Linked DNA regions of Callithrix jacchus. The protein of the gene in region 1 binds, or shares a complex with, the protein of each later gene. Links are inferred from orthologs where the notes say so. Each region holds a gene or a part of one and is shown in the gene's direction. Other genes may lie near its edges. The genes, in order: GABARAPL1 and STBD1.

What was found.
Region 2: the proteins of GABARAPL1 (region 1) and STBD1 are in contact, whole or in part, in a crystal structure (PDB 8X8A), measured with the Homo sapiens proteins. The link is inferred for Callithrix jacchus from reciprocal best matches to the Homo sapiens genes GABARAPL1 and STBD1. Residues at the interface, in NP_113600.1 of Homo sapiens: Glu17, Ile21, Tyr25, Asp27, Arg28, Pro30, Val31, Ile32, Lys46, Lys48, Tyr49, Leu50, Val51, Pro52, Asp54, Leu55, Gly58, Gln59, Phe62, Leu63, Arg67, Phe104; in NP_003934.1 of Homo sapiens: Glu201, Glu202, Trp203, Glu204, Met205, Val206, Pro207, Arg208, His209, Ser210, Gly213.

Annotation. Positions count from the first base shown.
Region 1 is NC_133510.1:12,779,921-12,784,386, reverse strand, and holds the start of GABARAPL1 (gamma-aminobutyric acid receptor-associated protein-like 1), read left to right. Parts: upstream 1-1,621; 5' UTR 1,622-1,881; coding exon 1,882-1,971; exon of another isoform or gene 1,972-2,412; intron 2,413-2,848; exon of another isoform or gene 2,849-3,214; intron 3,215-4,466. UniProt on the Homo sapiens protein: Ubiquitin-like modifier that increases cell-surface expression of kappa-type opioid receptor through facilitating anterograde intracellular trafficking of the receptor. Involved in formation of autophagosomal vacuoles.
Region 2 is NC_133504.1:121,770,525-121,775,109, reverse strand, and holds the start of STBD1 (starch-binding domain-containing protein 1), read left to right. Parts: upstream 1-1,604; 5' UTR 1,605-1,641; coding exon 1,642-1,861; intron 1,862-3,744; coding exon 3,745-4,585. UniProt on the Homo sapiens protein: Acts as a cargo receptor for glycogen. Delivers its cargo to an autophagic pathway called glycophagy, resulting in the transport of glycogen to lysosomes.

The DNA of each region.
Region 1 (4,466 bases):
ATTCTCTCCTGCCTTACCTCCCAAGGCGCCTGCCACCATGCCCAGCTATTTTTTTTTTTTTTTTTTTTTTTTGTATTTTTAGTAGAGAAGGGGTTTCGCGGTGTTAGCCAGGCTGGTCTCGAACTCCTGACCTCAGGTGATCCGCCTGCCTTGCCTCCCAAAGTGCTGGGATTACAGGCTTTAGCCACCGTGCCCTGCCCTTATGGATTTTAATACATAAGGATTGAAAGATGCCGTGGGGAAGTGGGACTATATGATACATTTTCCTGTGCCAGTAATGTAACTTAGTTTCTTTTACTTTCAGAGTACGTGTTTCATTTTTATTTATTTATTGTTTTTGAGACAAAGTCTCGTTCTTTCCCCAGGCTGGAGTGCAGTGACCGCCTCGCGGGTTCAAGGGATTCTCCAGCCTTCAAGGGATTCCCCAGTAGCGGGGACTACAGCGGTGCCCATGCCTGGCTAATTTTTGTATTTTTTTTTGTAGAGACAGTGTTCTGCCATGGTACCCAGGCTGGTCTTGAACTCCTCAGCTCAAGCGATCCTCCGTATAGGCCTCCCAGAATGCTGAGAGTACAGGTGTGAGCCACCACGCCCGGCCCCCTGTGGGTGTGTTTTTTAAAATTAGAGACACTGCGACCCGGATTGAAGAAGATAGGCCATGGGGCTTCTGTGTCTAACATTTTTCAGAATTCACCCGACTTGTGTGGGCAAAGCAGTCCCTTTTCACTGTTCTTTTTTACAATCTCCACAGCACTCCCTTCGCTGCCTACAGTACTGGTTGGAAGGCCTCTGTCGTTTGACTCTCGGTGGTTAAAGCCAGAACGAGGCTTCACCGCACCTGCCCCAATGCTCAGTCTGCCACTAGCATTCCAGGCGGCGCTTTCTAGTCACGTGAGGGATACCCAACCACTAGAAATAAGATGTGGGGGAACTGAGATCATCACCTAAATTGCTTGATACTTTCTTTTCCAGAAGACACGCCCTCCTTCTGGATTAATGGCAGAAAGTGAATCATTTCTATATTTGATTGTACGTGAAGCCCTCGGTAGTCCTTACTGACATCACGTCTCCTCTGGACATTGATTACGCTCCGTGTCCTTCACCTGACATCTCTTCAGATTCCTGAGTCACGCTCTGTTTATGTTGCTGTTCCAGGAGCGAACCACGGCGCGGATCCAAACAGTGACGTCAGCGCCGGAGGAGCGGCAGCGGAACGCGCAGAGGGCACGGTGCAAGCACGGGACAGCTCTGCATTGGCCAAAGGGATCCCAGGAGGCCTGGCCCTCTGTTCCCCCGAGGGTGGATCCCAACCAGCAGAGACAGGCTGGATTTTTGCCTTTTGTATTTGTTCCGGGGCCCAACCAACAAAAACAGTGGAGGGGGAAGAAAACATGTTTAGAATATTTTTTTTGTTTTAAAACCGTATTTAATTTCACGGTTACAAAATAAAACACAACTAGAATGTTTTGATGTTTGCAATGACATCGATTTTAAACAAGGTTAGCCAGAAAGCAAAAGCAGTGAGGCAGAGCTGTCGGCCTCCTCCCGCCTTCGGCGCCTGGCGCGCGGGGGCGTGGCGTGGCGCGCGGGGTGACGTCACAGGCCGACGCTCCGCCCGGCTGTTTTTGTGCTTCCAGCTCTTCGAAAAAGCCGCTGGTATTTCTCCACCTGGCTCTCCTTTACCTCCAGGCAGGCGCACCCGAGGTCCCCCTCCTTTTCCCCCACCGCGCACTCGGCCCAGCGCTGTTGCCCCAGGAGCGGACGTTTCTGCAGCTGTTCTGAGTACACCTTGACGTCGGCGGAGGGAGCAGGACGCGGCCAACTGTCAGCTGCGAAGGAGGCAGGCCCCGCGCGGGGATCTAGCAAGCCCTGCGGTGCATTATGAAGTTCCAGTACAAGGAGGACCATCCCTTCGAGTATCGGAAAAAGGAAGGAGAAAAGATTCGGAAGAAATATCCGGACAGGGTCCCCGTGAGTGTAGAGCAGTGGGGGGATGGGACAGGAGGGCCCGCGGGGGCGGGGGCGGGGAGTAGCGTTGGCTGCCCTGGGGCGCCCAGGCCGCTCTGGAGAAGGTGGGGGGGGGGTTCCATGAATTACTTAATCCTGAAAGCTCTTCAGTGCCAGAGCCAATGGACGTCCAGACTGCGGAGCTTTTAAAACCTGTATGCCAGCAGCCTGAATCCCACTTTAGAGCTGACGGCGTTTTTGGAGCCGAGCCGCCGTCTGCAGTGACTCAGCAGTATTGAGACGTGTGTGGGTTGAGGGGTGCACAAAATAGGGCCCCTGTGTGCGAGAGTGGTGAGGTCGGGGCCATGGATTGGCTGCCTTTAAGAACGCAGGGACATTGTGCTCTGCCGTGAGGTTTGCCCCGGTCGATTTCTGCCTTGGTTGGTTCCCCTTTAATGAAGTTGACTTTCTCTCTCATATCGTTGGGCTTGGGAGGAAAAGGTTCAGAAGCCATTCGGTGCTTTTCTTGCATTCTCTCAGAATTACAGGGGGGTGGGGGAGCACAGGACAGTCCTGGCCTGGAAAACAAGGTCACGTTCTCTGCGCAACAGCCCGCTTGCCTCATCGTTCTAGGCTCCGGGGCATGTGTGGAGACAGCTATCCTTCCCCGGTATCGATTTCTGATCACATGGTACCTGGACGCGATAAGGCAGGACTGAGACTCCTTTTCTCTGTTTTGGACACCGGCTTAAGTAGTTAAAACCAGCACAGGTAGTGAGGAGGAACGGAGAAAAATAATTAGGTATCTTCCAGCATCCGGGCGTTTTCCCCAGTCCTCCCCCCCCCCCCCCCCCCCGTAATTCTGAGAGAATGCAAGAAAAGCACCGAATGGCTTCTGAACCTTTTCCTCCCAAGCCCACTTGCCTGGTGTTTCTCTAATGTAGGCTGCGATGCCAAATTGAAGGCCAGAATATGACTTTTAAGTGGTAGAGGGACCAGCAACTGTTGGATTTTGGAAATGGAGTAGCGGAGATTTTACGGTGATCTTCATGTGGGGACATTAGTGTTACAAGTCACATAATGGTAAAACAATTGCTGTTATCTGGTGTCTTTTCTTGATTCACAGCCACTCTGGGTTTCTTCTTTAATCCTTACCTAACATTCATGGTTTTATAGCTACCAGAAGCCGCCAGCGCCTTAGCCCAGCAGTACAAACCTCTTGTACCTCTTTTCCTTAAAGGAAAAAAAAAAAAAAAAAAAAAGTCATTAGGGCTCTTCCATTCCCCAGGAATTACAAAAGGGTTTTCAGCTTATAAAGGAATGTGCAAAACCCTTAGCCAGTAAAGGATCCTTTACGAATTACTTTCCTGGTTTCTGGACCTTGGATACCTGCTGTGAAAGTTTCGCCCAGTTTTGGTGATGCCAGTCTTACTTTTGAGTAATGATATTTAAAAATGACAGCCAAGTTTTATTGATAGTTTACCCTAGCATTATTGTATCAGTCTGTAATCATTCACTTAATCCTTACACGATTATAATCCCGGTTCTACAGATGGAGTGTTCAAAGCATAAAGAAATGCAGTAACTTCCTAAAGGTTTCACGTTGCTGATCTGTGGTTGAGCCGGAATTCCACCCCGTCTGATGGACTGTGGAGCTCTCGGAGACCTTAACCTCCATGCCATATATCTCAATTTCTAATATAGCTGTATTAACCAGAATTAGTGATGTACTGTGGACTTTACATTGTTAAGTATTAGATAAATATTTTAGTGATTTATGTGTATTCACTCTGAATATTTCAGTGAATTCTCTTCTTTTCCTGCTCATATTTTCGTGTTAAATGTTTTGCTTCTGTGATAATTTTTAAGCCATTAAGACTGTCACTCGGATTTCAGCTTTCCTAGGGTTATGTTTTAACCAGTGGTGAGCTGTTCTCAAAGTGCTTTGTCTGTGACCTTCTTTCTAGTTATGACGCAGGTTCCTTGATTTGGTTCTGGTTCTGGGAATTCATTGCATCCTTGGGCAGAACTCTTAATCTTGTGGTGCTAGAGTGCCTTGTTTACAGAAAAGAGGGTTATAGTAATGACTCCTAAAGCCCATTCCCACTTGACCATTGTTATTAAAGCAATGGCGTATCCTGACTGCTCTCATAACCAGAGCTTACCCCCACCAATATTTCTTCAGAGCTCACGTTGGAAAGAATAGGTGTACTTGTGCCTTCGGAGAGCAAGGGTTGATGGGATCTTGAAATTATCTTCATAGATACAACATACAAAAAAACTGTTAGGAACAGATTGTCTTCTTAAAAATTCATAACCCTACTGAGTATGAGTCACATTTTACAAATGAGGAAAACAGACCCAAAGAGGCAAAGCATCTAGCCCAGGGGTCTACCATACTGAGGAATAGAATTGGGATTCCTGGAAACTTAACCTTGGTTCTGTGAAACCAAGGTTTTAATGATTACCCTTCCCTTTCTCTTCCTCTCCTAGCCCCTCCCTCCCATCCAGGTATTGCA
Region 2 (4,585 bases), on another chromosome or scaffold:
GAGAGAGAGAGGTCTGTAGGAAGGATGACTCCAGGCAAGGAAGCCAGTGTGGCTGGATGTGACAAGATGGAGGTGAGCACACAGTGGTCATGGGGAACAGACCCTGTAGGGTTTTTCCTTGTGATGGAGCAACTGGAGGGTGTTGAGCAGAGACCTGGGGTGTTTTAACAGGCTCAGGCTGACCGCTGGTTTGAAAGCAGTGGGTAGTAGTAGCTGGCTGTGTTTTGCTTTGCAGCAATGGGAAGGATGTGGTCACCACTTCTTGAGATGGGGAAGGTAGGGAGAGGAATAAGTTTAGGGAGGAAGGTGGGGAGTCCAGGTCTGTATAAGTCGGGTTTGAGATGTCTATTAGACACCCACAAGGCGATGCCTAGTTGGCAGTCTTTGCCCTCACTTCTCCTCTACCCCCTCCCTTATGATTGCCAAAGTTGTAGTTGTGACCTTCATCAAGGCAGCTTTGGCCCTCCAGTAACCTCACTGGCACAGCATTGCACCGGGTTAAGGGCTACTGTCCTTTCGGAGCAAGGGGCACATTTGATAATTTGTCCTATCAGAGACAGCAATCTAATAATTATTCCAAGGCGGGCTGGCTGTTGAATGTCGGAGTCCAAGAAAAGAGGTGTGAGCTGCAGACATAGACGTGGGGATCATCAGCTTGAAGCTGTTGTGCAAAGTCATCAGATCCGCAGAGGAACGGATTTACAAAGAAATGTATATAACAGCGCACGGGGTTGTTGTCTTGTGAGGATTAAATACATACATAAAACATATGGAATACAGACAGTGCTTAATAAAGAGCTGCTGTTTTTATTAACAAACTTATCTGTAGGCACTCGTCCATGGACAACATCCAGGTCAGACAGTCGGGCGCGCATTTCGCACCATCCATACACGCCCAAGGAGGATGAGACTGGATGTGGTTGGGCTGACTGGCATCTTTAGATAGACGGTCCTCTGTCCAGTCCTTTCATTTTGCAGGCGGGAAGGCAGAGGCTTGGGGAGGCTAAGCGCGGCGAGCTGGTGGCGGAGTGGAGCTTCCACTAGGGCTCCCAGTTTCCCCTCACCTTGCCCCGGTCCTCCCGGCCACCCACCCCATCCGAACGCGCCACCTCTTCAGCCCGCGCCCAGGCCCGCGCGTCACCGACGTCCGCGGCCTCTCCCACCTCTAAGTTCCAGGAAGCTCTCGGCCTTTAGCTGGCCGCGCTGCTGCTAAGCTTTCCTGGGGTGGAGGCGCCGAGGTGCCCGGCCCGGGGCGAGGCCTTGAGGGCAGCGGGCGGGAGAAGGAAGTGCGGTGGGGCAGGTCTTGGCTGCGCGCAGTGCGCACTTGGGTTCTTCACGCGGGACACACGTGGAACGCCGCCCCCTGCGACCCCGGCCGCTAGCAACTGGCAGGGCGGAGAACAGAAGATGGAAGAGCGTTCCAGTCTCCGCCCGGAGGGAGCCCGGGTCTGCAGCCTGGGGGCGGGGAGCGGGGCGGGGCCGGGAAAGTTGAGTACCGGTCGCGCTGGGCCGGGCTCCGCCGGAGCGCCCGCCGCAGGAACCGTAAAAGGCTGGAGCGGGCGGGGTAGGTGTGGCTCTGCTTGCGTGACCTGAGCCCCAGCCCCAGTCCTCGTCGTCTCCCGCGGCCGCGGCCTCTCAGCCATGGGCGCCGTCTGGTCCGCTCTGCTGGTCGGAGGGGGTCTGGCCGGAGCGCTTTTCGTTTGGCTGCTGCGGGGCGGCTCTGGGGACACTGGGAAGGACGGGGACGCTGAGCAGGAGAAGGACGCCCCTCTTGGGGGAGCTGCGGCTCCGGGAGGTGATCAGAGTGGCAGCAGCGGACTGAGCCCTGGACCTTCCAGGCAGGAGCTGGTCACCAAATCAGGTATTCTTCACTCCTGTGACTCCAGGGCACATCTGCCATAGCTTTGAGGTTCATCGAGGAAGGAAGGAAAGAGGCAAATCTACCTAGAGCTTTCCTAGGGGCCCATTCCTGCGGAGGGCTCCCCTAAGGGGTCTGGGCCATCCCCACGCCCCTCGGTTTCCCAGGCTAGTTGGTAGCGCAGGCAGGTTTTTTGGTTGGTCCTCCAAGGGCCGCGCCCTGCCGAGTCTCTCAGCGCCCGCGCCTGCGGACTTGGTTCTGCCCCTCCGGCGGGGATAAGCTCCGCCACTTGGCGGCGCTTGGTGCAGTGCGGGCGGCTGCCGTGGCGGCGCCCCTTCCCGGCCTTTGGAAAAGAGGGCTTAGATTTGGGGGGGATCCTACAAGCCTCTTCAAACTCTGCCCAAGCCGGGACATTTTCTCAGTCCTGATCCGGGTAGTCTCACATCCTCCCATCGCACAACCCATGGAAGAGCTGGATTTGGGAACACCCGAGCTGCGGGCGCCTCGTGCTGTCTGGACGCTTCTTCAGGAAGGCAAAGTTCAGGTTGGACTCTGGCCATGAAGGCCATGGCTGAGGCCCTGGGGCTGTGCTTGGTGACCGGTTTCAGCACTGTCGGCAGTTCCCCCCACCCCCCTCCCACTGCCCCAGAACAGGGCCAGGTGGCCATCCCTGGGAAGGGACTACTTAAATAGGAGTCCCAGCTCTGATGAGTAGAACCGGTATCTAGGTTTAAATTTCTGTATTTTAGGGACCGTTTGCTAAGCAGAGAGCGAACACTGGCAGAAAAACCTTACCTTCCAGTGCCCTCCCGTGGCAAGCGGCCCTTGCCTGGACAGAAGCTTAATGGTGAAAATGACATCTGTGAACTTTATTTTTAGCCCAGTGGTGTTCATGTGCAGCTATATGAAAATCTGCCCGTGTGCCCTTAGTATGATTGGTCGGGGATGCCTAGACAGTTCACTTATCTTTTTGTTTTTCCTGAAGGCCAATCTCATGCTTTAGGTTGAAAAGTTGGGAATCCATAGTAATATTTGTTCACTCTCACTTCCAACTCCACCATTAAAACGAGATAAACAAGACTATTGTCCCCATGCCCTCCCCCCCGCCCCACCCCATAAAACCACAGCTGTGCTAATTGTATGTACGATTTGGAGATTTCAGTCTTGTTTGGACTACCAATGGGGTGGTCAAGAAGGAAACCACATTTTTAGAGGACTTGGATTTTGTATTTTTAAGAACATTTTTTTAAAAAGTGCTTACAGTGGGAGGGGGTACAAAACACTGTTTTGCTGAGGAGGTTCCGAATGAATATGGGATTGGCAAGGAGAAACCAGCCCCTTCCCCCACTCCACTCCTGCATCCCAGGCATGCACTACTGTCCTTCGTATCTCCCCACAGTGACAGCTCCTGCTGATCTGCCCACAGATCTGTGAGAGCCAATCCCTGCCCTGCACGCCTCCCCTGAGAGTATAAGTGTACTCTTCCGGTTTGTAAGGTGGCCACGCAGCCTTTTGCCCCACAGCCTGGACATTCTTTGATGATAGGAGCCAAGCAACTTAACTTGGCTGCATGCCAGTATGGCCTGGACTGTGGACACCAGGGGCCATGACAGGGTTACACGTCTGCCTCTAGAGCTTACCATTTCATTTACACTTGTGCTGGCACACTGATTCTCCTGGATGTGCCTTTTATTGTCAGATATACATGTGTATTCTTAGAGCACAGTGTTGGTTAATGAAGCTGTACTTGATTTTAATAGAGGAGGACTTTGTGAATTGCAGATTGACTAGTAGTGAACCTTTCAGTAACCAAATTATTTTCTCAACCTAACTTTTTTCTTACACGAACTACCTGACTCTATTACATTTTTCCTTTTATTTCTTAGAGCATCTTCAAGAAAGCAATGGACATTTGATTTCTAAGACCAAAGACCTTGGTAGCTTGCAGGCAGCAGCATGCAGATTGCAGAATCCTTCCAGGGAAGTCTGTGACAATTCAAGAGAACATGTTCCTTCTGGACAGTTTCCAGACACAGATGCTCCAGCTACTTCTGAGACTGGTAACTCTAGGAGTCACTCTGAAGTTTCAAGAAATGAAAGCCTTGAATCTCCTATGAGAGAATGGGGATTCCAAAAAGGACGAGAGACATCTGCTAAAGCAGCTACATGTTTTGCAGAGAAGTTGCCTTCTAGCAACCTGCTCACGAACAGAGCTAAAGAAGAAATGAGCCTCTCTCATTTGAACAGTCAGGACCGGGTTGACCACGAGGAGTGGGAAATGGTGTCTAGGCACTCGTCTTGGGGGGATGTTGGCAGTCTTGAGGCTCCAGTGTTAAGCCCAAAACAGGGAATGGACAATGGAAGAAGCACTCTGGTGGAAGCAAGAGGTTGGCAATTGCATGGGAAAACAGAAAAGGTAGCAGTGATGCCTGCGGGGTCTCAGCAAGTTAGTGTCAGGTTCCAGGTCCATTATATCACAAGCACTGATGTGCAATTCATTGCAATAACTGGAGACCATGAGTGTCTTGGGAGATGGAACACATACATCCCACTCTCCTATAGCAAGGATGGGTTCTGGTCTCATTCCATTTTCCTGCCTGCAGATACAGTGGTGGAATGGAAGTTTGTGTTGGTAGAGAATGGGGGAGTTACTCGCTGGGAAGAATGCAGCAATAGATTCCTAGAGACTGGCCATGAGGATAAGGTGGTTCACGCATGGTGGGGGAT